3 linked regions of the Rhinolophus ferrumequinum genome follow. Each later gene encodes a partner of the first gene's protein in a complex. Links are inferred from orthologs where the notes say so. Each region holds a gene or a part of one and is shown in the gene's direction. Other genes may lie near its edges. The genes, in order: TPRKB, LAGE3 and OSGEP.

Region 1 (10,876 bases):
CAATTTTTCTTTCTGAAAGCTTTAGGATCTTCTTTATCTCAGATTTCCTGAAATTTCATGATATGCCTTAGTGTGGGTATTTTTTTTATTACTATTATCCATAATGCTAGATACTTAGTGAGCTTTTTCAGTCTGGCAACTTATGTGCATCTGAGAAATTTTTTTACTTTATCCAATTTTCTTTTCCAGGAACTTCTGTTAGTTGAATATTGGATTTTCTGAAATGTACCTCTAGGTTAATAATATATTGTTTCTCTTATTTTCTATTTTTAACCTTTTTGCTTTTTTTAAACCAAGAGAATTTCCTCAGCTTTATTTTCTATTCTTCTATTGATAGTTTACATTTTCTGCTATTTATGTTTTTTTATATACATTTTTAATTTCCAAGAACTAGCTCTTATTTTCCAAATGACGTTTTCCCCAGGCACTTCATTTTAAATAACGCTTAGATAATTTTATTAATTTTGCAAGAAAAATATGTTCTGACAAGTGATTATCACCACTAACTATAATAAGTACCCATTAAAACCTCTATTTTCTATCAAAGTCCTTACCAAAATTTTAGCATATTCTGAAAATTCTTTGAAGTTCAACTAATTCTTTTTCTTGAGGAAAGACATACAAATACACAAGGCCGATGATGTACAGATTAGAGGAACACATATTTGTGAATTGATTCTTTTTTTAATGGATGTATTATCTTTGCTCTCGAGTTATCAGTTATTTTTAGGTTTCTTCTGTTTCCTGCATCTACTGTTTTCGTTCTTCTTTTTTTTTTTTTTTTTTCCTGTTTATTGATACCTGCCTCTCATGTTGGAGGTATTCTTGAAATATCCGGTGACTTTTGCCCATTTCTTTGTACTAAGAATTGTGGCACTTTAAGCTGATGGACACCCTGGTTGTGTTGTGGTAGATTTGTAATAAGGTGGTCAGCTTGCCTTTTGTTTCCTTTCCCCATGCTATATACATTTAGGTTTTATTTTTCTCCTTTCTGACCACTACCGTCTTTGATAACTTTATTGCTCTCTCTCATCTACCATTTTGTCATCTCTCCCATTCTCTTGTGAGTTTTCAATCTGTAAAAATTCCCTTATTGTCATTTTGGCTAGGGAGTACAGACATAGGCGTGCGTTCAGTCTGGCCAGTGTAATGAGACTATAAATGAGCCAATAAAAGTGGGTTTTGGGTTTCTCCTCAGTCTGGTAAGTTGATTTTGATGCATCATGTTCCAGGAGTGTAGGCCATTGAGTACCCTAAGTCATGATCTGGTCCTACACTGTCAACCACAAACATTCCTACCGTGGAGGGGATCCCATCCAGGGTCCTGTCTGAACCACCTTTCTAGCATACTTTTAATAACTGGCCCAGAATTATGTCCTGGAAACAAATTCATTCATGTTATTCCCCTCTTGGAAATCTTGCATGACTAATGGCCTTCAGGAGCCACTTCTAAGTCCTTGACAAGGCCTTCTGTGATCTGACTTCCAGCCGACGTTTCACTGCGATACTCCTCTCCCATTTGTCAGTGTGCCGGCCATTTCCTGAGAACGCTGTGTTGTGCATGTTTATACCACTGTGTCTTTGTCTTTCAAGTTGTTTGCTTGGCTATAATGGTTCTCTTGTGGTTTCTGTGAGCAAACCATTCTCATTTTTGAAGCCCCATCTCTTAAAGCCTTCTCCCAACAACTCTACTCCTCTACTGATTTATTTCTTTTTCTACATGGTACCTTGTGTCATTGTTTAGCATTTATTTCATTCATATCTCCTGTTCTGTGAAACACAGGCTCTAAGCATGGCCTCAGATTCCTTCAATCCCCTCCTCCTCCATGAAGGTGCCATCTGCCACCTGCACCACATTTCTTCATTGCCTTGCCAGTATTGTGCTCCCTGAGATGACTAGAGCCCAGGTTATACTGGGCCTGCATGGCCCTTCCAACCCCCACACCACATCCCTCCACTTTAGAGTCGGAGGAAATGCCACACTATGGGCCACAGGATCTGGTTTTCTGAGCTGCCACTGAAGGGTGAGATGATCAGAAGTGTGGAGGAGTCAGCTCCTGTCGCATCCTGCACGACAAGAACTGTGGGAAGCGAGAAGGGCGGCGCAGGGTTAAGAAAGACTGTAGCCAAAAATAGAGTCCAAGCGGGGCCAAGGGACTCCAGCCTCAAGAACTGAGCCCCGAATCAGGCCAACGCATAGCTTTTATTGGTTAACAAATGAGAAAGTAAAGCTTGTTAATCTCAAGATCTGTGAATTTCACACATTATACTAGGAAACTGATTCAAACCAATCACCCTTGCCTGCAGGCAGTCAGAACTGTAAGTCTCAGGATGTATGTACCTCCCCAAGGGACAAAACCTTTATGCATATGAATAGATGGAGAACTGATGTTATCACATCATTGAATCTCTTCCCAAGCAGGTTGTGGGAAGGAATATAGCCACAGAGGCAGAAGCTCTCCTTAGGTGGGTGGCTGTACCCACCTCTATCAACCCCATAAGTTCTCCAGATGGCTCCTATGCGATTGTGCCTCTCTTAGGTGTTCCTCCCTCAAGGAATCTTACCCATCATTGACTAACCAGCCATCCTTTGGGGCCAAAATGGGAGATATAAGGTGTAAGCACAAAGGTGAGATAAAGTCCCTGAAAGGATCAGTTTCACGGACTCTCCTTTCTTTAGGGGTAGGTACGAGGGGACAGACAGGTAGGCTGCTGAATGACAACAGCTCCCACAGTAGAGATCTTTGAATAATGAAACATGAGACAAGGAGGAGCCTGACAGGCAAATTCCCCCTCCTGTCTCTCTTCTGTGGACTACTCTCAGGCATGGTTTTTCCTTTCAAGTCTCCCAGGGAAAGTTCAGCCTGCTGAGCAAACACACATACCAAACAACCTGTGTTTCCTTCTGGTTCCTTGTGAAGTCTACCAGGAAGGTGATACATTTCCTCACATTGCTTTCCATCTCTCCTTGCTTCATTTCCCTTTTATCCTCACTCTCACCACCCAAATAAAACAGCAGCACTTTAATCCTTGCCTCAGGCTCTGCTTTGTAGGACCTAGGTAAGACACTAGTATTTGTTAATAAATCTGGCAAAGTCATACTTTTTAATGTTCAACTATGCATATGAGAGCAGGAAGTACCAGAGCTCTTCCACTGATTGGACATTGAGATCCCACACATATTCATCTTTTAGGAATACAGAAATGTCAATTACATCCAACATAACAGTTTTTCAAGAAGTACAGTTTTCATTTTGTGGGTTATTTTCTCAGGACATGGGAATAGTTTTTGGAGTCTGGGTGTCTTCTATGACCCACTTGTTCAGATAACACTACCAAGGTTAGATTTACTTTAACAGATGATAACACTTACGTATATTTATACAAGTCTATATTATTGCAGGCGAGAACAAGGTTGATATTCTTAGGAAAGAACTTAGGAAAGTTCTCAGTTAACACTTCATCAAATCAGATCTTTTGAACTAATTTTATGATACATAATGATCTCTCTTCCTGTGCAGCTGTAGGTAAAAGGATCATCTTTACCTCTGAGGTGCCTTTTTGAAAAACAGTAAAATGCATCCTTTTTTAAGTGTACAATTCTATGAGTTTTGACAAACGCATTCCGTTTTGTAACTATAATTAAGAACAGTTTCATCACCCCTGGAAATTCACTCATGTCACTTTGTAACCCAACTGCTCCTACCAACCCCAGACCTGGCAACCATTGATTTGTTTTCAGTTCCCTGTAGTTTTGCCTTTTATAGAATGTCGTGTAAGCGGAATCATACAGTATATAACCTTTTGAATGTGACTTCTTTCATTTAGCATGCTTTTGAGATTCATCCATGTCACTGAGTGGACCCATAGTTCATTCCTTTTTATTGCTGAGTTAGTACTCTGTTGTACGGATATACCCTAATTTGTTTACCCATCTGCCAGTTGAAGGATTGGGTTTCCAATTTTTGACTTTTGAACAAAGATGCTGTAAACATTTGTGTACAGGTTTTTATGAGCACATATGTTTTCCTCTGGAGTGGAATTGCTGCTATGGAGTAAGTAGCTATAAGTTTAATTTTATAAGAAACTACCAAACATTTCCAAAATGGCTGTACTGTTTTATAATCCTGGCAATAAGGTATAAGAGTTTTGGTTATTTACATCCTCACCAGCACAGTATTGTCTGTTTTTTTCTTTTATTCTAGCTATTCTAATACAGATATAGTGTTGTCTTGTGATTTTAAAATGAGCTTTAGAAATATAATTGATGTACAATATACTGTACATTTTTAAAGTATACCATTTGATACGTTTGACATGTATACATTCATGAAACCATTATCACAGTTAAGATCAAACATACCTATTACCCCATTTGCTCGTGCCCCTTTGTAATTCCCCTTTGCCACCCCATGCCCCCTACCCAAGCAACTGCTGATCTGCTTTCTGTCACTCTAGACTAGTTTTATATAAATGGAATCATACAGCATGTCGTATTTTTATGTCTGGCTTTTTAAATTTAGCATAACTATTTTGAGATTCATCCCTGTTATAGTATGTAGCAATAGTTGATTCTTTTTATTCCCAAGTTGCAGTCCATTGCATGGATATACAATTTGTTTATCCACTCACTCACTTGATGAACATTTGGGTTGTTTCTACCTTTTGGTGGTTACAGACAAGCTGCTCTGAACACAGACAACTTCAAGCTACTATGAATGGTGACAACTTTTTTTAATGCCTATTTTCTAAACAACTTTAGGCATAATTTATAGTCTATAAAATGTACCCTTTTAAAGTGTGTAATATGATGAATTTTGACAAATTCATATTTCCTTGTAACTAACACATCAAGATACAGAACATTGGCTTCATTGCAGAGGTTCTTTTGGGGTCCTTTCCAGACAAGGTCTCCCATTCTCCCAATCCTAGCAACCACTAATTTGCTATTAGTCACTGTAGAATAAGTTTGTAATTTCTAGAATTTTGTAGAAATGGGATCATGCAGTAACATAATTTCAGTTTCTTTTTTTTATTGCTGATCACGTTTTTAGATTCATCCTTGTTCTTGTTGCAAGTATTGTTGCAAGTATCAGTAATTCATTCCTTTCTATTACTGAGTAGTGTTTCATTGTATAGATTTACCACAATTTGCTTAACCATTGACGTGTTGTTGGGCATTGGGTTGTTTACAGTTTATGGCTATTATGAGTCAATTTGCTATAAACATTCATGTATGAGCCTTTGTGTGCACACATTTTCATTTTTCCTGGGTAAATACCAAGGAATGAAATTTCTGGGTATGATAAGTATATTTTATAAGTAATTTTTTATTAAATTATATATTTTTTAAAGAAACTGCCAGTCTTTTCTAAAGTAGTTATACTGTTATATTTAGACCAGCAATACATGAGGGTTTTAGTTATTCTGCATATTGGACAACACTTGATACTATTAGTCTTTTAAATTTTAGCCATCATATGGGTGCATAGTAGTATTTATGTTTTTAATTTGCATTTCCCTGATAACTAATGATGTTTAGCATCTTTTTATGTGTTTGTTGACCTTTCAGGTATCTTTTGTGGAGTGTCTGTTCAAATGTTGCCCATTCTTAGTTACTTAGGTTGTTTCTTTTATTTTTGAGTTGTACTTCTTTATAGAATCTGGATACAAGTCTTTTGTCAGAATAAATTTTTACTAATATATATGTATTCCCATTGGTTCAAGCCACAGTTCTCCCTGCTATTCCTTAAACAGGATCAGAGCCTTTGAAGTCTCTTTGTTGCCTTGAATGCTGCTCTCCCAGATACACACACAGCTTGCTTCCAGACCGCCTCCAGTCACTATTCAAATGGTCCTTTTTGGTGAGATATTTCTTAACCGTCCTATTTAAAATAGTAATACTCACGACCTGGCATTCCCCCTTTTCTCCATTTTTTTTCTCCATGGCACATATTCACTGACAGCTGTGTTTGTTGTTTACCTGTCCTGTGTAAAGTATTGACCAGAATGAACCCCAACCATAAAGAACATGGAAAATAACTCTACAACCTGTTTAGGGGATTCCCTCCTCTCTTAGAGGCTGGTACATTCAGGGATGACAAACCAAATTCCTGTGCCTGGTAGATGAAGGAAAGGTTGGTTTCATTAATGTAGTCACCAATCTCTTCATAAGTATCCAAGGCAAATAGCCTAGCTCCATCCGCTCTAACAGATCCTCCCTAAATGACCGCACCGAGAGCAAAAAGGCAACCGAGTCCCGCGTGCCAAGAAAAAAACTTGAATCTCGACCATCGGAGACATGTAGAGAGCTCTTCTCGGCCAATGCTTTGCACAGGAAGAAGGTGAAGACGACTCGTTCAAGGCCCAATACAAGTTAGGGACAAAGTTGAGGCTCGCACCCAGACCTCGGCCCCGGCCCACGCATCCTTTCCAGCCCTCTCTCACGGGAAGTGACGGACGGAGCTCTCCTTCGCGTCCGCTAAGGGGACTCACGCGGGGAAGAAGGACCCGCGGAAGAGTGGGCGGGACGGCCCACCGGAAACTCCCTCCCTCCGGGATCCGGAAAGACAGATGCTGCGGCCAAGCTTCCGGAAGTGGTGGGCTTTGTTTCCGCGGGGAAGACACTCCAACACGGACGGGGCAGGCGGCGGTGAGTCCTCCGGGCGGGGCTGGGAGGAGAAGGTTGGAGGTGGGAGAGCGGAGGGCCGATCCCGGGCAGCTGTAACCCAGTTATTTTGAGTCCACGCCTGGAGCTCCTTCGGCCCTTGTTTAACAAGCGCCTGCCGAGACCAGGCCCTGGAAATTTAACACCAAAGTGATAGACTCAGTCTTTACCTTCAAGGTTTATACACCTTAGTGAGGGTACAGAAAACCAATCAGGTCCCGACTCATTGAAGTTGTGACGAGGGATAAGAAGGAGCTCGTATAATAGGGACCCAGCTCCGGGGCTCTGGGCTCGCTAGTATATAGACTCTTTAACGGCGAGTTGATGGGAGGGAGGAATTGAGTCGGGAACTCCCTACCGGTGAGGGCAGAGGTGGGGAGAAAGCTTGGTGACTTGAAGCTAAGAAGGCCATTGCGGCGGTAGCGGCAAGAGCGCAGTCAGGGAGGAGATGCGCTTGGAAGCAGAAGAGGGAGGAAGGGCCCAGGTCATAGAATCCGGAACGCTTTGACATAAAGTTGTGGCCTTATCACAAGAGTAGCGGAAGGACAAGGTTTGGTTTACAGTTTGAAAGGGTCACTTTGCCAGGTGGAGGTTGGATGATAGGAGAGCGGGAATTTTGAGGCGACCGCTCCTAAGAGGCCATAGGTGTGGATGAGAGATGGTGGCCTCGTGTGGTGGCGGTGGGTATGGGAGAGAAGTGGACTGGTTAAAATGTTATTTAAGAGGTAAAATCGGCACGATTTTATTGATTAGAAATGGGACTAGAGATTAATCTAAATTTCTGGCCTAGGTGAGTGAATTATATAAAACAAACTATTTTGACATGTGCTAGGGGTCCGTTTTACTAGTGTAAAAACAAAAACCACAAAAGGTTTTTTTTCCTCCATGATTATATGTGCTCATTATATTTTGTGTGCTCCCTATAAAAAATTCAGAACATGCATACAAAAATATTTTTTATAGAGGACCATATAAATTACCTATAATCCAGTTACCAAGATGGCCATCTTTTGGTGTGTTTCCTTCATGTTTTTGTTTTCTGTATTCATCTTTTTGTATAATTGGGAATATATTTGTTACACATTTCTGTAGTTTTTCCGTTGGACACTATCATGACAATAAAGATTGAGCTGCTATGTGCCGGGACATTATTCACAGATATTTTACTCCTTATTGTAACAGAAAAAAACAGATATAATTCCACCAAGTCAGAGAGAACTTTATTGATGAATTTTCCTTCCAGTGTTTTTTCTTTTTTACCTTTTAAAAACCCCATGATTTATGCCACATTTTATGTTTTGTTTTCCTGTCAGATATTTTTACTTCATGTTATTTATTGCTATTTTCACATATCTTTAACTAGTCTTTAAGATTTCAGTTTTTAATGGTTGTTTAGTCACAACCAGTCCCGTTGTTAGCTAAATAAGTTTTCAACTTTTTACTATTAGGATGATGAGAGGAACTTTTTATTACCTAAATTCTCAGATTTCCAATTTATTTCTGGAGAAAGAGTCCTAGATATGAACCTACCAGATAAAAGGGTAAAATGAGCTTATCAAATTGCCTCACCCAAATATCTCATTAAGATGTTGATTAAAATGTTTTAAAGATCACATTTTTGTAAAACTTTGTTTTCCCATTCAAGAATATTGACAGGTCAGCCAGTAAAGGAACGTGCATTGTCAGGCAAGTTAAGGAAGTTTTTATGGTAAGAGAGAAAAGTATATATCAGACTGAGCAAAGACCACTACAGTCTGGACTACACCCCTAAAGGAGACTTGCAGCCCCGAAAGAGGGGGTGAGGAGTGTTTTATAGGGGCTCTGATGAAAGGGTGGCATTGCTTGAACAGAAAATGTTGACTGCCTGTAAGCCAGTAGCTATACTGTTTTGTTTTCTTGTATCACAAGTTCGGCTCTGTCTGTAGGTACAGGTCAACAGACATTTTGTTGTTTTCTTGCAGACATGGCTTTGTCCATAAGTCAAGGTCTCTGAGACCTGACATTCATAGACCTAGCATTAAGTCAAGGTCTCTAACATTCAGGGACCTAACAAATATGGTTACGTCTTTCTAGTTATTTAAGTTGTGTCTCATGCATCTTTTATATCTTTATACTTACCCTGTCTTTTCCTTCTTAAACTTATGTCTAAGAAAGGGCCAATCTTATTAATTATTTAATAGTTGTACCCTCTGGTTAAATTGCATGTGTGAACTGAATATCTTTGAGTCAAGTGTAATACTTCTTTTCTCTAGAATTATTTTTTTCCTTAATATGTGTGTCTAGGTTCTGCTAAAATTTAAATAAAACAGTGAGATCAGAAAGCTAAAAAGGCTAAGTTCTAGTGAGGTTTCATTAATACCATAGGTAACCTGTGGTCTAAAAAATTCCTGATGGACGGCTGGTTGGCTCAGTGGTTGGAGCGAGGTGCTCATAACCCCAGCGTCGCTGATTCGATTCCCACATGGACCAGTGAGAAGCAACAGCTTGAGCTTGGAGCTGAGCCGCCAGTGGGTGGCCAGTTGGCTCAGTGGTTGGAGTGTGGTGCTCATAACACCAAGGATGCTGGTTCGATACCCACATCGGCCACTATGAGCTATGCCCTCTACAACTAGATTGAAAGCAATAACTTGACCCTGCAGCTGAGCTGTGCACCCCACAACTAGATTGAAAAAACAATGACTTGACATGGAGCTGGTGGGTCCTGGAAAAAAACACTGTTCCCCAATATTCCCCAATAAAAATTAAATAAAAAAAAATTCCTGGTATTCTGCACCTAGTTGTCTATTGGGGAAGCTGCCCCTCAGCCATGCAGCTGAGCTTACCTCATCTGTACAACCAGAAGAGCAGGCAACAACCTTGATCCTTTCCCAGGAATGATAAAGGAAGCTAGAAACAGCTCAGCAGTGTGAGGAAGAAGACATCTCATGAGGATGCCAAAAGTGCTTTGGGGATGGATTTTCCTAGTTTATCAGTTCTATCATCTTATTATTTTTGAAAATTTATTTGTTAGCAAAGATATTTGTTAAGGAATTATAATGTTCACTTTTCAACAAAAGACTCTGGTCTTTTTGGTTTTATATAATAGAATCCTGCTTATCTACGAAATGCAGTTAACACATCAGCTGGACTTATTTCCCGAATGCAGGGTGACCCTTCTGTTATTTAAAGATGTAAAAAATGCTGGAGACTTGAGAAAAAAGGCCATGGAAGGTGCCATTGATGGTTCATTAATAAACCCTGCGGTGGTAAGTACAAGTGAGAATGAGTGAGGTCTGCAGGGCATTTAAGAATGTGTTCATTTTCCATGATGTTACAGGTTAGCCTAAAATTGTCATCTTCAGGTAAAAAGTTCTTGTCTAAGCTGTCGAGTTGAATCACATTCGGCCAACCTTGAATTTAACAGTGAATGGAAGATGAAGTGCTAGGCCCTGCTCTAGGAGATAGGAAAGGTTGTAGTCTGGCACTGACATAGTGGCAGATAAGTAGATCTCCATCTCATCTGAACTACAGAATCTCTGCAAAGGAAGCATTGCATAGTGATGAAGAGCACACGTGTGAAATTACATTTCCAGGACTTAATCCAAGCTCTGCCATTTATTACGACTTTGAGCAAGTAGAAGCCAACCTTTATAGAGTGCTTACTCTGTATCTGGCTTTACACATACTTGCATTCTTCTAAGTGCTTTACATATACTAACTCACTTCACAACAACTCTATGAAGTAAGATTACTTGCATCTAACAGATAATCTAAGGAATTTGCACACGTTCCCTGGGTAGTAAGTGACAGAGCTGAGATTCAAACCCACACATTCTTTGCCTTGGTTTCCTCATCTACTGCATGTGAATAATACCAATTTCATAGTATAGTTTTAAGAATTAAAGAAAATAATACAGGTATAAAATGTTCAGAATATGGCCTTTCCCATAACATTAGCTCTTAATGTGTTTTTTTTTAATTTTTACTGTTTGTTTTTGAAGCTTTAAAAGTCTGATTTTCTGAACACGCAGGCCCTTGAGATAGAAATTTGAAAATATAGTCCATAGAAATTGTGATGAAGTAAAACAGCCTGACGTTGGAGTTACCATGAGAGGGCATGCATCTTCAGAGTGCTCCAGATTCTCTGTGTGTAATTCTTTTTGTTCTCTTTGGTAGATCATTGATCCATTTCAGATACTTGTGGCAGCAAACAAAGCAGTTCACCTCTGC
Region 2 (10,078 bases), on another chromosome or scaffold:
CCAAAACCAGGCCTTGCCATCTCCTATAGTTTCAGCAGGGGCACTGCTTAGCCAGGACAGGCAGTCCTGAAGCAGATGCAACAGCTGTGGCTAGGCTCAGACTACGAGCTCTGAAAAGCTTGCAGGAGAGACAATGGACCTGTCCACCTCCAGGGCCCAGCTAGAGCTGCCTGCCTCCCTGAGCTCCTGGGAACTTGACCCCCTTCCCACCCTCTCGGGGTAACCAAATGACTCTGGCATTCCTTATCCCTTGCTGTCTTCTGTACTCACTCTCCTGCTTTTTCTTCCACTTCATTGCTCCTTCCTTCTCTGGCTCCTTTGCTGGTTCTTCCCCTGTCCAACCCCACATACACACATACATCACCTCTTAATGTCGGGGGGCTCCAGGGCTGTCATGCAGGGACTCTGCTCCCGCTCCCCGCACAAGAACGCAGGATATGGTGAGGCCAAAAAGGACCACCCACGGAGCCATAGATAGAGGAGTCAGACCACTATATACTCTCTGGCAGCTGGGTTGGAGACACAGGGAGCAAACATCTGCTAGCACCCCTAACAAGGGCTCTTCCTGCACCCCAGTCTCACTGGCGGCTGGGCAAGACACATGAAGTAGGATCCACATGATCCGCAACCTACTGTCCGCTTCTCTGCCTGCCAACCAACCAACCAACCTAGCCACGGTAGCTATATCAGTGGCTAATGGCTAACTGGCCACAGCTGATGGCCGTCTACTACCCAAGCCAGCACCTTTCCAGTGAGGCCGAGAGCCTGGAAACTGCTCTCTGGGACTCTGTCCCCACAAGGGATCTGTCCCTGGAGTCCTTCTCTTCTTTCAGGGGAGCTTGTCCACCTTCACTGCCACGTCTGTGGTGTGATTGTGAGACAGCTCCTGGCTCTCCTGCAGACATCTCATTCACGCTTTTAGCACACATTCACTGAGTGCCTGTCATGTCCCAAATGCTGGCAACACTGGGACTGGAAGACACACTTCCCTTCCTCTTGGCACCCACATTAGCCTGCCTGGATGAATGGCAATGTCACTCAGCCAGGCTTTTAATGACAGGAAGCAGGAAGCTACCTTTGCCTCTCCCAACTCTCCCTTCTCCATAGGCAATCAGGGAACAATATTTTTGGAATAATCCAGAGCTGTTGCCTTGTAGAATGTTCCAGAGTCTGGATTTGCCTGAGTCCTTCCTCATTAGATTCAGCTTAAGCATTTTGACTAGAGCACTGCCAAGGGCGTGCTGTGTCTTTCCCTCCCCCCACCCCCACCATCAGGAGGCACGGGGGTCAGGCTGTCCCACTCTTAGGGGGGCTTTGTTGGTTTGATCGCATGGTCAAGGTGGAGGCTGCCAGGTCTCTCAGTGGCAAAGTTGCATTTTTCCCTTCTTAATGCACAAGTAATCTGGGGTAATACCTTGAGACCCTGTGAATATTCTCTTCCCCAACAGCCTTTATCTAATGGTTTCACCATCCAAAGATGATTCTTCCCTGAATAAATTGCATTGGTAGCTGCAAATGATGGTTTTCTGATTCTTTCTTTCTACAATTATTAGTTGGCATTTCTCCTTTTTCCCTGCTCTCTTTGCTCAGTTATCACAGTTATCACAGTGGATGTATTATTATTATTATTATTCAACAACTTAGAATCCAAGAGTGTCATTTTAGGGGGCAGTTTTTATTGGACTATAGCATGCGTACAGTAATGTACATAAATCATCACTTTACAGCTTGATGGATTTTTAAAGTGAATACACCTATGTATCTATCCTCTCCAGATCGAAATACAGAATATTGCCAGTACTCCAGCACCTTCCCCAGTGCCCCCTTCCAGTCATACTCCTCTCCAAAAGGTTTAATATCCTTTTGGATGCTCAAATTGTTCTAGCTTTGGTTCTTCCTGGTTGACAACTATGTCCCTTTGACATGCCAAGTTTTTAAAGCACTTCCTTACTTTCTGGTCAGGCCATGGCACTGTTGGGGAGGCTCAATTTGATCACGTGGTCAAGGTGCAGGCTGCCTTGACCACGTGATCAACTCCTAAGAGTGAGGTACTCCAGGCTCATCTTGTGGTTTTTCCTGTCCCAGCCCTGGAATCAGCCATTTCTCCGAGAAGGTCTGGTTCCTTTTAGTGGAGAATGTCATCGTGGACCCAAGGTCTGCGCGCAGGGTGTGCTCATTGCTATCAGGGTGTCATTGCTTCTAGACTCTTTCAGTGGACAAAACTAGGAAATATATTTTTAAGAGTTCATACTGCAATCCCCAATTTCAATCCAGTGTCACAGTTCTTTGTCGCCTTCCCTTATTCCACAGTGAGAATTCTCATTCCCGACAGCATAGATATATTTACTCATTTGCTCTAACAGATAGAGTCTGTCTTAAAGTACCCCCAAAATACTTTGAGTCACCTCATCACTACCGTTGCCAACAACAAACATCTTAAGAGTAAGGCCAGTGACTTTTGTCCTTAGAATACATCCCGTGAAGGGAGTACAGTCAGACTGCTGAGTTTAAAAGGCACCCGAATTATTTTCTCTGTATGGTTTTGTTATAAATTTGATATTCAGTTAGCCTCATTTGTTTTTGTTTTTATTCAATTTTAGCATTTGATCTTTTTCACTCTTTCAAACATATTTTTGGACATATAAAATATTACATGGTTCAAAGTCAAAACTACAGAAAAAGGTATATTCCAAGAAATGCTATACCCATGTCAACCTCCTCCAGGTGACCATTTTCATTAGTTTGGGGTATCTCCTTCTTGTGTCTTTTTCCCAATGAGTATTTGTGTCTGAGAGTGCGTGTGTGTCCATGAGTGTGTGTGTCCTTTGCACTCTGCTTTTTTCACATAACAATGTATCCTGCAAATCATTTCACTTTCTCATTAGAGGTTTTCGTTCTTCTTTTCTTTCCATTGCTGCTTAGGACTATTGCATGAAGGTGCCATAGTTTATTTCACCAATTCCCTGCTGGTGGACATGTACATTGTGTCCAATAACTTTCTGTTACCGATTAGGTTATAATGAGTAACATTGTACATATGTTGTTTCCTATTTGTGAAGTAACTTCCTACCTGCAGATTGCTGGGTCCATGACAGCGATCGAGTTTTGTACTTAGTAATACTCTGTTTTATTCAACAAGCAACAAACCACCTATTGCATAAACTGCACTGAACAAAAAAAATAAAGGTACTAGAGATGGTATATCAACAATATAGAAGTGAACAAAACAAGGTTATAATTTCAGATTATTAGAAATGCTATGCAGCATATTAAAGTGGGCAAATGTGATGAAGCATGCCTGGGGGTAGTATGTTAGACTGGTGACCCAGAAGTCCTCTCAGAGGTGACATTGGAGCCAAGATCCTAATGACAAGAAAGAGCCAGCCATGGGAAAGTTTGGGGATAGTCTTCCAAACAGAAGAGTAAGTGCAAAGGACTGGGGGTGGGTCACCTCTGGTCAGGAGTACAGAAAACCCTCAGAGGTTGCAGAGAATGAGGAAGCAGGCAGGTGAGGGTAGAGTGTGGAGGAGCTGGCAGCCAGGTCACCCAGGGCTTTTATAAGTGTGGATCCTAACAAGATACCTACTAAGAAGGGATCTTAGTGGATAACTGGGTTCAAAAAACAACAACAACAAAAACAAAAACAAACAAAAAAATCAAACAGAGCCTAGCAGCTATTTCTAAACAGGGGCCTCTCATGCAAGCCCTGCTTTGGGAGACGCCTACACTGAACTGCCTGCCTGTACTGTGTTCCTGCCATCTGAGCCAACCCTTATAAAGTAGTTCCTGGAATCCTATTTCAACGAATAAGACTGAAACTTTCCCCATCCAACCAGAGCTGTGTAACTACACCCTCATCAGCATCTTCACCCACCAATCAGAGAAGCTCCATTCTAACCAATCATGACAGTACTTTTTGGACCAATCAAACTGTGAGGAATTGGAGTGTCATTTGCATGAGGATGGACCAATCAGGGACCAGGGGCAAGACTTACTTCTGTCTTGGAGAGTGCACTTTCCCTTTACACAGAAGACTGAAGAGTGTTTCCCAGGCTGGAGCTGAAACACTGAAGACCAAATACACAAGAAGTCTCAGCGGACCAGAGCGGAGAAGAGCAAGGGCAGAGTGGAGCAGACTGGAGTGGAGCAGAGCACAGCTGTCTAGCTGGAGATGGCCCTCACCCTGGGGCTGCCTTGCCCCAGAGCCACCTCACAGCCATGCTGTTCCACAGCTGTGTTGTCTCATAATTGAGCTGTAACACTATTGAACATTCTCACAGCTGGGCTGTGTCACAATTAAGCTTTTTGTGCTGAATACATTGTCCTTCACTACATCCCAAACTGGGGATTCCAGGTGATGTTGAATTGGCGCCAACAACCATCAGTTGACATAAGCTACAGCAAAGAGGTTAGATTTGATTCCAAGGGCAATGGGAAATTGTTTTAGGATTTTAAGCAGGGATGTGAAATGATGTGATTTATACTAAAAATCAAGACCTGATTCTTCTGTGTGGAGAACAGGCTCTAGAGGAGCAAGTGTAGAAGAAAACCAGATAGGAAGCTGTTCAGGGAGAGATGGTGGCTTCCACTGGAGACTAGCGATGGAGCAGTAGAGAAAGTGGACTGATTAGGGGCTGTTTTGAGCGGGAGATCCAACAAGATTTGATGATATAGCTCAGCTTTATGTCCTTCCTTATAATTACAAAAGAGGAAAATAGAAAACTACCATGACAACCACTGTCAGAAATTTCATGTCACTTTAAGAACTTATTTTTGATTAAAAATGTCATATAAGGTCATCGTCAAAAATTTGCAGGCAAACACAAGATGGCAGTTATAATCCAGTGTGCCGTCACACAGTGGTAGTGAGTATTTACATTTTGGTGTATTGTTCTAAGTTTCAGTGCATGTATACGGTAATTTACTAAATTGGGATTTTAGTGATTTTGGTTCTGCATCCTGATTTTTCACAGATGACATTAGCCCTGTTCGCACTGCCACTACTTTATCTCAGGTCCCTATTGTTTCCCTCCTTGCCTCTGTGTGGGTCTCCCTGCTGTCAGGCTTGACCTTCTCACCGCCCACTTCGTTTCTAAAAATGCAGATATGATTGGGCCGTCGTCCCCTTTAAAGCCTCCTTTGGTTTCCCCATTTAAATTGGCAATGGGGGTGGGATGCAGAACACCATCCCTTGTGGGTTACCGGACCTCACCTCCCTCCACAAATCACTGCAAGTACGTTGAGCCACATCTCTTGGGGACATTGGGCCCAAGGAAGAGACAGGGCGGGAAAGCAGCCACCTGTGTGGTGCCTCACACGAGGTGGGTGGAGGGGGCTAAGGCAAGACGGGTTAGGCGGGCACACTGGGGGCCACATGTTGCTCTTAGGGGCAGAGCTTCATGAGGGAGGGCTCATTGGCTAGGCCACCACAGGGTCTCCCGGGGCCCACGGGCTGCCGGGAACTCACCACACACCCGGAGTCCTTACTAGGGCCCAGTGGCGGCAGGCCTCCTGGTCGGAGTCAGGGCGAAGGGGCAGAGCTTCGGAAAGGAGCCGCAGTTCCTCAGCCTCCCGCGGAGAGCGCAGTCAGTCGGTTAGACCAGCTCTCCGAGGGCGGGGTCGAAGGCGGAGCGCCGCGGCCATGCAGCGGGCGGCAGACGCAGGCTGCAGCGGAGGGGAAGGCCAGGGAGGCCCCGGCAGTGCGGCCACGGCGGCCCCAGCGTCTGGCGGAGCTCCTCGAGTCTTGCGAGCACAGCATGGCCCAGAGCCGGGCGGAGACGCAGCGTCCACGGCCAGAAGACCGGGAAACCGACTACATACATTGTATCCTACCCGAAGGGACAGCGGGGAATACGCTGGGGGCTGTCTGCGGGGAGGGGGGCGTTGGGTGCAGAGGGACGGACGCGGCGGGTGTGGAAAGGGGAACAGAAGGAACCAGGGGCAGCCTGGGGGTATACAGGCCAGGAGGAGTCTGGAGGATAAGAAATGAGAGCAGGTGGGGAACGGGGTGGCTGGGGGCGGGGATTAGGGCCTGGGGTGCCCTGGGAGTGCTGGAGGCAGTCCTGAAGGGAGTGAGACTAGTCAAGGTGGCCAGAGAAGGTACCCGAGGCACAAAGTCTCTGTGGATGGTGCCTTGACACAATTTCCAGCGCCCTCAGTGTGCCTTTCCCGTCCCCCTTGGAGGCTGACATCGCCTGTGGGTCTCTGGCCCCAGATGCGGAACCCCACCCAGGGGCGGTTCGGAAGGAGCTCACAGTGAGCGGCAGCGTCCTAGCGGTGTAAGCTCTAGGAGGGTCAGGAGGTGGGGGGTGGCAGGGCCAGTCTCTACCGAGAGGCGCTTTATGGGAGAGGTGGAGACACTCAAGGGTTAGGTCTAGGGGAGGGACTTGGTGCAGTCTAAGGGGGAGGTGTCGTAATGGAGACGGCAAAGGGTTCAGATGCCTGAGGGGCAGAGCAAGGATGGGGAGGGGTCACCACCTCTAACTTGATTTTCTTTTTTCCTCACATTTAGCCGCTGGAGAGCTGATGATTCTCGCCTCCTCCGAATATCCATCATCAACTTTCTTGACCAGCTTTCCCTGGTGATGCGGACCATGCAGCGCTTTGGGCCCCCTCTTTCCCGCTAAGCCTGAGCTAGGAAAAGGGGGCTGAGGCCCAACCTTGTGTCCCATCCTAGGCAATGGATCCTTCCTACGACAGCAATTATTGCAGTAGTTGCCACTTTATCATGGAGCCCTAAATCTTTTGCCTGTACCGGCCCTTGGACACTGGGGGTTCACTTCATTTGTTTGGTCCTTACTGCAGACAACAACTGAGCTACTATTCCATGTCTGATTTTCTTTTAAACTACAGCACCTAATATTCTTGCCTTTGTCCCAGGGTTGGAGGAGAGGTCTGGGATTCAGATATTCAAGCACTACCAGGTAACTGAAGACAGTTTAGGAAATGGAAGATGGGTCCTGTCGTTCAGTATTAACTACTGTCAACATTTTGGAATCTTTCCTTAGTTTTAAACCTGTATTTTATATAGTAAATGTATAACAATAATACATAATGTATAATATTTTGTATTTTTACTGATATTTTTAATCTAACATGAACGTTTCCACTAAAAATTCTTCAAAAGCATTATTGAATGGAGGCATAAAAGATACATTATAATGTAATTATTGGCCATTTAAATTACTGTGTTTCCCGAACATAAGACCTAGCCAGACAATCAGCTCTAATGTGTCTTTTGGAGCAAAAATTAATATAAGACCCTGTCTTTATATTATATTATATTATATTATATTATATTATATTATATTATATTACATTACATTACATTACGTTACATTATATTATATTATATTATTATATTAAAGACCCAGTCTTATTTTACTATAAGACAGGGTCTTATATTAATTTTTGCTCCAAAAGACACAGTAGAGCTGATTGTCCAGCTTGGTCTTATTTTCAGGAAAACTGTATTTTCAATTTTTTTGTCCTATTATAGGTAATGGATGAGTCAATGGAATTCTTGCATATAAATCTTTACATGATTGTTTCCATAAGATGGATTCCAAGAGGTAGATTTACTGCGTTAAATATTTATGATTTATTTTTTAAAGCTGTCAATCTACAGTGCAGAATTGCTCTCCAGAAAATGTACCCTCCCACCAGAATGCTGGTTTCCCACTTCCTTGCCACTGCTGGGTCTCCTTGGCAAATATTTTTAAAAACTTAGTTTGCATGAGAAGAGCAAACAACCCAGATATACTAGAGTCAGAGCCTTGTGGGCTGACTGGCAGTGTGTCAGGTCAGTGAAGAAAAGTGCTGGGACAATTGGTTAAGCCTTTCGTTGGAAGGAATGAGCTCCCTATAAAATACATTGCATTGCTTGCTAAATTTACTTATTCTAGCAGCTCCTTTATAAGTGCCGTCAGATTTTCTCCAAGATGATCATGTTTTCTCAGAATAAAGGCAATTTTACTTCCTTTTCAATTTGGATGCCTTTTATTGGTTAGTATCTTTTCTCGTTATGGCGTTGGATTCTCCTGCTTCTCTCCATGCCTGGTAATTTTAGATTGGATGCCAGACATGATTTTCCCTTGGGGGCTGGATATCTTTGTAGGCCTAGACATATATTTTGAGCTTTGTTCTGGATGCTGGAAACAGTCGGATCCTTTAGAGTCTGGCTCTGAAGGTTTGCTGCGTGGGCCCTTTCAGTGTGGGAGTCATTTTTTTTTCCCACACGACTGAGGCAAGACCCTTCCTCCTGAGCACCCTGCCCGATGCCTCCCAAATTGTGAGGTTTACCATTCTGTGTGGTCACACAGCAGCCTAGCCGTTTGTCCCCCCCAACCTTTCCCTAAGGAAAGAAGAATTTATGGGACTGTGCCTCTCTGGGATTGAGTTTATAATATCCTGAGTCTCTCCATCTGGTCTTCAAGAGAAGGGTCTGCGGTCAACGACGAGTAAGATTCCTCACGGGTGGGACAACTCAAGCCAGACGGGACCCCGTTGGGACCCCAATGAGCTGTTATAAGAAATAATAGGAGGGAGCCTTGCCCCTCCTTCCTCTTGTTCTTGTGGGAAGCTGCTGCTTGCCTCTGCTGCTCCCTCTCACCTTATTGTGAGACAGGCCCATTAGAGCGATAAGATCAAGCTCTTTCTGCTCAGCTCATGGGACAGTTTCACCCCGAGAGACTCTCTCCCCCAGGGTGGTGCATACCGCACCTTAGTCATCTTGGGACGATATGCTTCGGCTGCTTTGGGACAAATAATTGGGTATTGAAATCATTTTTCTGAAATGGTGTAAGAGTTTCACAGACCCTGCCTCTAATCATGTGATGTGCATTGTTTGTAATCAATAAATACTGTCAGTGACCCAATTCGGGGCTCCAGTCTCTTGAGGCTGCGAGTCCCTTGGTCCTCTGTGATTTAAATATATATGAGTCTCTGTCTCTTTATTATAGTTTAACCCTCGCCGCCTCCCTCGCCTTCCCACAGCTTGTGTTGTGCAGGTCGCAACAATTCTGGCCGGTGGGGACAGCCTCTAGTGCCTGTCCTGCTTGAGCCCTGGGCATCATCCTCTTTCATCCTTTCGGGTGGTCCTTCCCCCGGCCTGGCGTACTTTCCTCACACACCTGTGCAGATCAGTGGTCTGCAGAATTCTCCAGCGGGACCGTCTGCAGGTGTGCAGGGTCCTCTTCCTCTGCCGCTCTCTTCTCTTCCCCCAGAGGTGGAAGCTGAGAATTTCAGGTCCATCTCCTAAACTTGGGGTATCCACTGGGCTCTGCCAGGAAACTCCTCTCCCTCTCCCGACAGTCGGCTGGGGCAAGTGGCTGAACTCTCATTTGCCAGAGATCACCGGTCTTCATTCCCTGATACCCGATTTCTTTACAGCCTATTTCGTATACTTTGTGTGGTTGGGGGTGTCTCTCAAGTAAGTGGCAGGGTAAATCTGGTCCCTGTTACTGCATGTGCGTGAACAGAGTCTACCATTGTAGAACGTGGAGACCGCTGATATCGTGAGCTGGAGGGAGAGAGAAGCTGTTGATGGGGTCATGATGATGGCGATGAAGAATCTCGCCTGACAGTATGCAGCAGCTGTAGTGACTACGGGGGGGGGGGAGGGGTCTCTTTTTACCTTTCTTACGAAATCAGACTTAAGACCTTAATTACTGATGATGGATAGATGAGAATTTAGCTTTTACACCACGATCCTTCCACTCTACCTCCTCCCCAAATGGTTCCATTCACTTCTTAGGGTTTCTTTTTCCCCTGAGGTTAAAAACTGCCTAGTTTGTCATTGGCTTAGTTTCTGTAATCTCACAATGGTCATTTGGAAAACCACCTTCCTTGGCATGTTCTCTCCTGTTCCTGCCTGGTTCTTTTCAGGCTGCCTGCCCACACAACTGTCACACTGGAACTTCCCTTTGAGCGTGAATCCTTATTCTAGATCATGTGGCTTTCTCTTTACTCTTTTATCTCTTCTTTTTGTTTACTTGTTTGTGTTTGAAGTCCGGTTTAGGGAGGTCTAATTCTCATACTGTAAACTTCCCCCTTTTAAGGTATACAGGTCTAGGACTTT
Region 3 (10,414 bases), on another chromosome or scaffold:
AACCTGATGTTTACCATCCCTCAACTTCATACCTATCTGGGATACCTTAGCCTAGTTTTCATTTGCCAACCTCGTGGTGTATGCCTTTCTTTCATTTCTCTGTCCTCGCTAAAACCTCATCTATCTGATTTCTCCTCAGAGTGTTTTTTGGGGAAATGAAAGGGTTGGGGATTAGAGGTTTGCTTACCAATATCCCTATTATTCTCTAGCCAATCAAGAATGCACCCCCAGGGAAAAAATATGTTCGATGCCCCTGTAACTGTCTCCTTATCTGTAAAGTGACTTCACAGCGGATTGCCTGCCCTCGACCCTACTGGTAAGAGGCATAAGGTGGGGAAGGGCATCAGTGGGGAAAATCGGAAAGCCAGAAAAGGATGACTGTTTATAGTGAATGTCAAGATGAGAGAGCCTGGTGTTTAGAAAGAAAAGGCTAAGGAGTATTATGCATCTCGAATGTTATAGCTATCTTTTTCATCTCTCTGTAAAAAGAATGGGATGAAATGGTGTCCTTTAGGATAATGGAGAGTTTTGGACATTGTATCAATTATCCTGAGATAAAAAGAGACCTATAGTTTAAGGAGTGCTCTTCCTCAAGGAGTCTCTGGGGTAGAGTTGGGGGGGCAGAGTATCTTAAATGTATAGAGAAGTAGAGGAACTGAGTGAGACAGAGGGTGGGGGCTAAGAAGGAGGCACAGTGTAGGGATCCTTAGGATTAAAAACTTTTTAAATATAGTTTTTTCCTTGTACAGCAAAAGAATCATCAACCTGGGGCCTGTGCACCCAGGACCTCTGAGTCCAGAACCACAACCTGTGGGTGTCAGGGTCATCTGTGGACATTGCAAGAATACTTTTCTGGTGAGGAGGGGTTTTGGGAAGCCCTGGGGAAAAAAACCAGGAGGAAAGATAAATATACTTTTTGATTTATGATCATGAATCCTGAACAGGCCTGTTCTAAGAGGACCCATTTCCCACCCTCTCCTGCCCCAGGACTCTCATTGAAGATGACCCTTCTTGTACTATTAGTTGGTTTCTCCCTTTTTCTTTCTCCATAGTGGACAGAGTTCACAGACCGAACTTTGGCCCGTTGCCCTCACTGCAGGAAAGTGTAAGTGATTAGAGAGTGGCATCATTGAGCTAGTAATCGGGTAACGTGTCGAATAAAAATTACAGAGCCATTGCAGGCATCCATTTCTGTTTGCCTCCACACAGGTCATCTATTGGGCGCAGATATCCACGAAAGAGATGTATCTGCTGCTTCTTGCTTGGCTTGCTCTTGGCAGTCACTGCCACTGGCCTTGCTGTGAGTAACTATGATCCGACCCCTTTCATTCTCCAGCCTCATCTCTATAGGCTAAGATTTGGAAATGGCTACCTTAAAAGAAGTGAAAGAAATCAAGGGGGTTTTGTTTATTTTGTGTTTTAATGTATAGATGAGCTGAAGTTGAAGGTAACTGATAAACAGTTTTCATTGTTACTATAGGAGTAAAGAACAGCCATCTTCTTTATGCAGAGGATAGGACAATGGAATAGTGCTTAAATTAGGAGTTGCTATTAGAAAACCTGGTGTTATTGTAAGACATTAAGAAAAACTGACATGTTTGGGATTGTATGAGTATGTTCCTTCCTAGGGGGAGCTGAACTGGGCCTTTAAGCAGGTTCCTGAAGGTGGCTACACAGGGATAGGGAACAGGGACCCAGAGTTCTATGTTGCTGTTACTAGGGCTCCAAGAAAGGGGTGAGAGAGCCACAGTAACCTCCTCTTTCTTTTTTGTCAGTTTGGGACATGGAAGTATGCACGGCGATATGGAGGCATCTATGCAGCCTGGGCATTTGTCATCCTGTTGGCTGTGCTGTGTTTGGGGCGGGCCCTCTATTGGGCCTGTATGAAGGTCAGCCACCCTGTCCAGAACTTCTCCTGAGCCCCACGATGAACCACAGACTGTGCCTGACCCCTCCCTGGTGGGGACAGTGACACTACAAAGGGAGCCATGATAAAAGGCTCCCTGGGCTTCTCGAAGTGGAGCCAAGCAGCTGCCTTCCTTTTCCCTGGGGAGAGGTAGGAAAGAACCAGGCCCTCACCTCGGTTTGGAGGGGTAGGTAAGACCACTGCTGGCCATCTGCTTTCCTCCCAGGGTTGCCGTGTTTAGGGTGAAGTAGGCGAAATGTTGCCCCTAAACCTGGGTCCTAAAAGACGGTTCTAGCCTTGTCCTTCCTATAAGCTCCCTGAGAGCCATTCCTGTCCCTTATACATTCCAGGGCAGGGTGGGGGTGGGTAGCCCTGGGGGTTTCCCTCCCTCTTGTGTACCATTAGGACCTGCTGCTGCTATTGCACTTCTCCAGGGGCTGGCTCTGGCCTCAGTACCCTCAGTCTCCTCTCCCCCCATTCCGTGTCCTATGGGGGTGGGGTCAGCCGCTGCTCTGTACAGAACCACAGGAACTGATATGTATATAACTATTTAATGTGGGGTACGTTCCCCTAGTCCTGTGTTTCCCTTAATTCCTCCTGCCAACCTTACACCCCAGTTGTAGCATTTAACTGGGCTGGGTAGGGTTGCTGTCTTGGGGGAGGGGAGGGATTCATCCTGTGCTTGTAAATAAATGTGGTGACTCTACCCTTTTCCAGTTGTTAATCTGTTATGAAAGGAGGGAAATTTATGGTCTCACAAAGGAGTAGAATAGAAAGACAGGAAGTTTGAAATTATGGCTCTTTATTTTCATATGGACAGTTCAAAGGAAGTCATCAGTAGCTTTTGTTTAATGTAAAAAAAGAAAAAACCCACCCACACACAAAAACCAAAACCTTGGGCTTAAAGGAAACCCATATGTAACTAGGAGCCTGGTTGAAGGATTCACATTTTTAGAAGGGAAATACAGTGCAGAGTTCTCTAGAGAGCAGTTTTAGAGTTGGGGAGCAGGATGTTAAAGCTAGTATAGGGAGTTTATTTCCCAGGCTCAGGGTGATCTGGGGGAGGTATCACAGTGCTAGGTATAGGGTGATGGGACAGTGGTCACTGCCCAGGGCCTTGGAACGGATCTTGCTGTCACACAAAGCAGGTAACAAAGAGTGAGACACCAAAAAGTAATCAAGGCGCCAACCAACGTTTTTGGATCGAGCATTCATCATATAGGTCCAAAAGGTGTAGGCATAAGCCGTGCTGGGGTAGAGGTGCCGGAAACTGTCAGTCAGTGGCACAGCCTGCAGCAATTCCCCAAAGCCTTGACGCTCTTCTGGAGTGAAGCCAGCATTCTTTTTGTTTCCCTTGGGGTTTCGAAGGTCAATTTCTTCATGAGCCACATTGAGGTCCCCACATAGCACAAGAGGCTTGCGGGAAGCCAAGCCCTTCAGGAACTTGCGAAAAGCTTCATCCCAGCGCTGCCGGTACTCCAGGCGCACCAGACCTCGGCCTGCATTAGGTACATAGGCTGTTACCAGCACAAATGTGTCAAATTCAGCCACAATCACTCGGCCTTCCTGATCATGTTCCTCCTCGCCTACAGAAATGATGAAACAGTATCAATATAAAGAAGCATAAGAAAAGGGAAAGTAGAGAATAAAGGAATCAAGAATTGGGGTTGGAGTGGAGCACTAGCAATTGGTTTGGAAGAACTCAGTCCATAGGAAATCAATAGAGTCTTACCAATGCCATAGGAGACTTTGAGTGGGCACTGGCGGGAGAGTAGGCCCACACCACTGTACCCTTCCTTATCTGAAGGAGCTGACCAATACTGATGGGACAGTCCAGGAAGCTCTTGAAGTTCAGCTGGTAGTTTATTCTCTGAACATTTGGTCTCTTGCAGGCACAGGATATCTGGGGCTTCTTCCTTTACCCACTGTGAGTGAAATAAGTATAAAAAGTATCAATTCAGCAGACATTTATTGAGGAATCTGTGTTAAGTACTAGAGATACACAGTCCCTGTGCATAAGGAGTTGAACAGTTTAGCAGCACAATATTTAAACAATTCTGTAACTGGTAACTAATGGAAGGAGGTAAGACTGACACATGCAACACTAAGGAGATTGTTTTTCCTATAGGCAGTGGATAGCTAAGATTTTCAAGTACTAGTTATTTTTAATTTTTTTAAACTTTATTAAATTTATTAGGATGACACAGGTTAATAAGATTGTTTCAAGTGTAGAATTCTATAATGCATCATCTGTATACTACACAGTGTAAACACCAGTTATTGAAATAGAGGACATGCTGGAGATAAAATGGAGCAAGTTCAGTAACAAGGTTTTTTCAACATGCTGGGGAAGAGAGGAGGACATTAAGAGTTTAAGACAATGGCAATGGAACTGAAGGAATGGATGTGCAGGAAACAGGTGGCATGACTTGAAGCCTCTTCTTGTACCTCTCCCACAAGAAAACTACCTACAAGGGAACAATAAAACCTACATGCTGGGGACTAAAATAGGAGAGGGTGATTAAACCCCAAGATCAATACCAAAGATTGTCTCTTCCCCCCTCCTTGAATTCCACTTACATCTAAACCTTTCTTCTTAATCCAGGCTCGAAGCCCATCCACATTCCAGGAGCAGATCTTGAGTGTGGCTGATTTGCCACTGGGTGAGGTTTTCTTATCTGGGGGGTCCTCATACAGGACTGGCCCCTCTCCTGCCTCTTTTTCGTTTTTCTTTGCTCCCGCCTTGCTCTTCTTGGCCTCTGGCTCTATAAAATAAGTAATACATAGTGATAAAAGTTGGCGGCATCCAACTTTCATCGAGTTAACTATAGACCCACTGAAAGCCTGCAGTTCCCGCGACTTCTTCACAAACTGCAAAAATGGAGTGCGTCGGTCCGTACTTCCTGTTTATTCAGGAAATTAGAAGCAGCCTCTAGGGAGAAGGGTTCATTTCATTCTCTTACCAGTCTTAGGCTCTTCCCCATCTTCTACCACTGCTGCCTTTTTCCCACGCTTCGGCATCACTGTAACGAACGCCCTCCTGCACCACGTCGCCCAACGAAGCAGTATTTTTACCGCGTTGCCTACAAACGCAAATAAGTGGTGAAACCAGCTAAGGCTGGGGATAAAAGATTCTACCTTCGCGCGGCCCGTTATTATCTTTGAATTCTTTCCCCGCCTCCGTGCGCCATAGGCCCTTCAGCCCCTCACCCACAACACTAGATCATTTCGGTGCCTTGTACCCTCTTCATGAGATCTGTCCTCAGGCCAATTAGCGCCTTAATTAAGGGTCCTGGCTTAGGCTAGCCGATCAGACGTCTAGAGAAGCCCCTCTGATGGGCAAAAAAGAACAGCAACTCCATCTGACCTACTTGAGTCCCAGCCTGGCACCTCCTTACCCGAGCACAAAGAAGGGAGCACGCTGAGCCCCCACGTGGGTAACTGGCGTGGTCACGTCGTCTGAGACACCACGTGGCAGACAAACGTGGGTGATTAGTCTGTCTGGCACCACGTGACCGAGAACCTCCGCCTTCCCTTGCATCTCCAGAGTATCCGGGGGACTAAAGGCCCCCACCCTCCATTCTCGGACTGTTTATCCGTGTGCCAGATGCACGATTTCTTGTGCCACCCTGACCGAAGATTCCAACGCTGTGCAAGACGGAAAAAAAACAGTGGGGAAGGCAAGGATGGGCCACCGGAGAGAAGCAGAGCAAAGGATGGGAATGTAAGGAGTAGATGCCGGCTCAGCGTCCCTGGCAGTTAGGAGGACAGGTCCTGGAAGGGGCCTTGACCGGTCGCCGTGACGACGGGGGCGTGGCCAGCGCGGTCAAGTCACCCGCCGGCGGTTTTCGGAGTGTGTCTGGTTGCGCGCTGCCACTTAGCAGTTGCGGGCTCTCTTCCTCTTCCTCTGCGCTCGGGAATCTGAGGCTCAGCAAGGACTGGTGAGGGTTCCACCGCTGCAGTGGTAGCTAGGAACCCTGCCGGCGTTTACTCCCAGGCTCAGCCATGCCGGCGGTGCTAGGTTTTGAAGGTAGCGCCAACAAGATTGGCGTGGGAGTAGTGCGGGATGGCAAGGTGTTGGCGAACCCGCGGCGGACTTACGTCACGCCTCCCGGCACAGGTGAGTAGGGAACTTAGAGTTTGCAGCGCGCTTCTCCGCACACCATCACCTTCCATCTTCTAAACACTAGTGAAGAGCGCATGGTCCCGTCATAGAGCTTTTGATCTGAGTCTCCGATGTTATGTGACAGTATTAAAATCACAAGGCTGGCTGATGGATAGAAAAGTCACAGGCATTTGGACCTGGATCTTCAGGGTTCGTTAAGCTTTTATTTAACATCTTTTATATGCTAATTGTCAGTTTGCTGCAGGATACAAAAATAGATGTTATGAGCCTGCTGTGGAGTTGGATATGTAAACAACTTTATATTGTAGTATGATAAATAATGCAGATGCAATAAAAATATTCTAGAATGAAAAGGAGTGTAGACTCCCAGGTTAGGTGTCAGACAGAAGTGACGGGCTTTGCAGTCAGTACTCATATTCAGTATTTGTTTTTGGATTTCTTTACTCTTAAAATGGGAATAATACCTGTATCATTGGGTCATTGCATTGGGTCTTGAGAATTAAATAAAAGCACCAGACACATTACAACTTTTAATAGGTGTTATTTGTAAGTTATGTTATATCTTGCCTACCCTCCCCCAAAACACCTGTTTATATAGGAGAGGGCAACTGATTTGCATATACCTGAAAAGCCTCCTTGAACAGGTGACGTGACAGGCTACTCGTTAGAAAGATACGTATGTTTAGCATTTTGGCACTAGGAATACAGAGGTGCATAAAATAGCCAGTGTTTTGAGATGCTCATGATTAAACTGGGGAAACTACAGGTAATTATAATACTATAATTGTTACATGTTAAATACAGTTCTAGATATTTTTGCTACATTTTCACCGCATAACTAACTGACCATAAGCCAATTTCACTCTAAAAAGATATAAAATAACTGGTTGACTGTTTGGTTTACATTTGTCATACGTAATGCATGTAATAAGCTAGTTGACAGTTTGGTTTCATTTCTTCATTGAGGGAGTTCTTGTAGTTACTCCCGTTTTTATATTATGTAAATTGTAGCTCTCATAATAGTCTCTACAGTGATGAGTAGACGTGATGACCTTGAAATAGTGGATGATAACAGCTACGTGTAAAGCCAGATTACATACTGTACTGGAAAACCACATCAGTTTCCAAATCCTTCGGTGAGCACAGTCTTCCCTCCCACCTGTCAAACCTTAAAGTTTACCTAGCTATGGCAAATATAAGAGGCTCCTAATTCACAACAGTCTTCAAGAGCATTCATTATCGATTTTTTTAGTTGAAACTAATACCTCTCTTACCAAAGGAAGAAATTATAGCAAAAAAGAAAAAAGGCAATGCTGAACAAGGAGACAAATCAGCAAGCAAAAAAAAAAAGTATGATACTATGAACAAAAGACTTTGAAGACAATGTATTTTCGTTTTTTACAATAAAGTTTTTGAAAATTTTGTTACTAATTTTTCATGTTTCAATGTCCCTCTTTTATTTTCTGCTATTTTATCTTTTACTGTGAAATTGCCTTAGGACCAATTAGTTGTGCCATGAAAATGTTTACGGAAGAAATGCTTGCAGCAAAGATGTTACAGCAAACAGGCTTATGACAAAAATACCAGACATATTTAAATACAGTATGTTGAATACAATGCTATGATCGTGCACAGAGTTTGTAGGGTCACAGAGAAGATCACCGCAGGGTATAACATAGATATCACTTGACATGAGTCCTGAAGGCTGAGTAGGAGTTGGGTATGAAGAAGGGCATTTCTGAGAGGCTGTTCAGCCTAGCTGAGCAGGCTGGAAGTAATATATCTGAGCACCTGGAAGACAGGTTTCTTGAAGAGAATGAAAGGGACTCTTCCTACACTACTAAAAGCCTGTTTTTGACTTCTACCTACCTATGCTACAGAAAAACCCTATGATCTCTGACCTGTGTTCATCTCCTAGGATTTCTTCCAGGTGATACTGCCAGGCACCACCGAGCTGTTATCCTGGACCTGCTGCAGGAGGCACTAACAGAGGCTGGATTAACCTCCCAGGATATTGACTGCATTGCCTACACCAAAGGTATGGCTGGGTGAGTGGCTGACAGTGGAAGAATATCCTTGGAGCTTGGCCATGTCAAAATAGCCTATAGCTTGCCTCTGCTACCACCACTACCCTGACTCCACCTCTCACATCCCTTCCTTCCCTCAGCTCTGTTTTTTTCCATTCTCTGTAGGATTCTAACTCCCGTTTCTATCTCCCTAGGCCCTGGCATGGGTGCCCCACTAGTTTCTGTGGCCGTTGTGGCCCGTACTGTGGCCCAACTGTGGAATAAGCCATTGCTGGGTGTGAACCACTGTATAGGCCACATTGAGATGGGCCGTCTCATCACTGGAGCCACCAACCCAACTGTGCTTTATGTCAGCGGTGGAAATACACAGGTATTGAGAGTACGCCACCATTCCTTCTTAGTTTCTGATGCACTGTACTGGCCACTTTTGTGTTCTATCTGAGTGGCAGGAACTGCAAGAACAAAGCTGAGCTTGTCTGAACCTAAAATGTGATACACTAGAAAATCCACAACAAAGTTTGTAACATTGCAAATTGGAGAGAGCATTAAGTGACTTTTGTGTATGTGGTTATAAAGATGAAGAATTTCCAATTTAAAAAAGGAAAGAATGGTAGGGATTGAAGCCTTCAAAATAATGAAAGGATTTTCACTTTAATTGTTTTGAAGCTTATTTTTTTTTCTATGAACGTTAGAAATTATAACTAAGAGGCACTACCCAATTTGTTTCTTTATAGTAGTTACATGTTTTGTTTTACGCTATTGGTGATAAATATATGGAAGTTGTTATCCTAAGAGTGTGAAAGTGTAAATAATTTTTAAAACACTTTATAAATGGTAGAAGATATTTTAAGTTTATAGGTGAAGCCAAAGTTGTTTGGGATATCTTATGAGACCTTTCTTAGATTGGGATTGGAGATCTCCAGCCTTCCTTTGCCACAGAACACCTGATAGAGTTATTGTCAGAAATAGTCATTGTCCCGCCTATGAAAGGCTTTCACACAACTTCACTGTGTGAAATAGTTATTAAAGGTGAAGCACACATTCCCATGAAAATGATGTGGGAACTCTGACAGGTAAAGGGCAAGTAGCTGCTTGGGACCTGTCGGGTGGTATACAAGGTGAGGGCCTTGGGGTGTGGAATTAGCAATGGAGGCTGAAAAGATTTAAGAGGAGCAGTGATCGAGTCTTGAGTCTTCTCTTTTCCTCTTCCCTTTTGAAGCCTGCTTTGGTGTAAAAAATAAGGAAGATGATTTGGGTGGAGAGGAGTAGATGATAGAAGAAGAAAGGCAGGGGTTTTTCCTTCCCCTTTTGTCACCAGCCTTTTGACAACAGAGTAAGACCTATGAAAGGCTTTCACACAACTTCACTGTGTGAAATAGTTATTAAAGGTGAAGCACACATTCCCATGAAATCCTGATTGAATTTCTTTCCATCAGAATGGAAAGAAATCCCTAGCAGAAGGGAAAGAATTCCCTTCCCTAGCAGGAAGGGAAAGGGACTTCTTATGGTCTCTAGGAAGCACTCACTGTCGGAAGTATGAAGGATATGTGTCAGTGGGTAAATATTCTCTGTGCTAGAAGTTCAAGTTGATTGCCAGTGCTGAATTGGGTGGGCCATTAGTCCAACCCAATATGGGGTTTTTGAGTTTTCAACTCTACTTATTCTCTTGTTTGCAAATATTACTGCCCTGGAGAGATACTCTAAAAGGACTCTACTTCCCTCCCTCCAAGCAGCAAAGCCTGTTCCCTAGTCTACACTGTCAGTACAGCTTTTAAGGGATATATGAGTATAAGGAGCCTCCAAGCTAGAAATTAGCATTTGAAAGGCAGTTTGCTTCTGCCCTGACCTAGACTATCTTCTTTAGGAATCTGCTCTGGGAATCCTCAAGGTAGGTATGTGTGAGCTTCTTCTAAGATAAGAGCTATAAAAAATCCCACTCAGGCTTTGGCAAAGTGGTTTTTTTCCATTTCTTGGATGCTCTAGTGGCCATGTTGATCCTCTGCTATATTCTTCCCCAAAGCCAAATACTCCTCTTTACAGACTTGAGCTTTCATGGACATCCTCATCACCCTTAGGTGATTGCATATTCAGAACACCGTTACCGCATCTTTGGGGAAACCATCGATATTGCTGTGGGTAATTGTCTGGATCGTTTTGCTCGAGTGCTGAAGGTAAGCCATTGGGTTGCAGAGAACATAAGATGTGGCTGAATTTTGGGGGAGTCATGGAAATGGAGGGAGAAAGCAGTAAATTAGCTTCTTAAACGCTTCCTGGATACCTGACTTCATCCTCTTTTTCTATCTGATAGATTTCCAATGACCCAAGTCCGGGCTACAACATTGAACAGATGGCCAA

Evidence for each region.
Region 2: TPRKB (region 1) and LAGE3 share a complex: the UniProt entries of both Homo sapiens proteins name them as parts of the EKC/KEOPS complex. The link is inferred for Rhinolophus ferrumequinum from reciprocal best matches to the Homo sapiens genes TPRKB and LAGE3.
Region 3: TPRKB (region 1) and OSGEP share a complex: the UniProt entries of both Homo sapiens proteins name them as parts of the EKC/KEOPS complex. The link is inferred for Rhinolophus ferrumequinum from reciprocal best matches to the Homo sapiens genes TPRKB and OSGEP.

Annotation. Positions count from the first base shown.
Region 1 is NC_046296.1:18,109,935-18,120,810, reverse strand, and holds the start of TPRKB (EKC/KEOPS complex subunit TPRKB), read left to right. Parts: upstream 1-6,540; 5' UTR 6,541-6,652; intron 6,653-9,752; 5' UTR 9,753-9,771; coding exon 9,772-9,912; intron 9,913-10,822; coding exon 10,823-10,876. UniProt on the Homo sapiens protein: Component of the EKC/KEOPS complex that is required for the formation of a threonylcarbamoyl group on adenosine at position 37 (t(6)A37) in tRNAs that read codons beginning with adenine.
Region 2 is NC_046284.1:6,159,367-6,169,444, forward strand, and holds LAGE3 (EKC/KEOPS complex subunit LAGE3), read left to right. Parts: upstream 1-5,465; 5' UTR 5,466-5,641; coding exon 5,642-5,823; intron 5,824-6,149; coding exon 6,150-6,278; intron 6,279-6,511; coding exon 6,512-6,626; 3' UTR 6,627-7,266; downstream 7,267-10,078. UniProt on the Homo sapiens protein: Component of the EKC/KEOPS complex that is required for the formation of a threonylcarbamoyl group on adenosine at position 37 (t(6)A37) in tRNAs that read codons beginning with adenine.
Region 3 is NC_046289.1:71,613,284-71,623,697, reverse strand, and holds the start of OSGEP (tRNA N6-adenosine threonylcarbamoyltransferase), read left to right. Parts: upstream 1-5,656; 5' UTR 5,657-5,911; coding exon 5,912-6,026; intron 6,027-7,950; coding exon 7,951-8,070; intron 8,071-8,253; coding exon 8,254-8,429; intron 8,430-10,134; coding exon 10,135-10,230; intron 10,231-10,367; coding exon 10,368-10,414. Other genes in the region: PIP4P1 (type 1 phosphatidylinositol 4,5-bisphosphate 4-phosphatase), read left to right, coding at 210-316, 750-855, 1,053-1,105, 1,210-1,300, 1,776-1,919; APEX1 (DNA-(apurinic or apyrimidinic site) endonuclease), read right to left, coding at 2,975-3,492, 3,639-3,831, 4,487-4,671, 4,870-4,927. UniProt on the Homo sapiens protein: Component of the EKC/KEOPS complex that is required for the formation of a threonylcarbamoyl group on adenosine at position 37 (t(6)A37) in tRNAs that read codons beginning with adenine.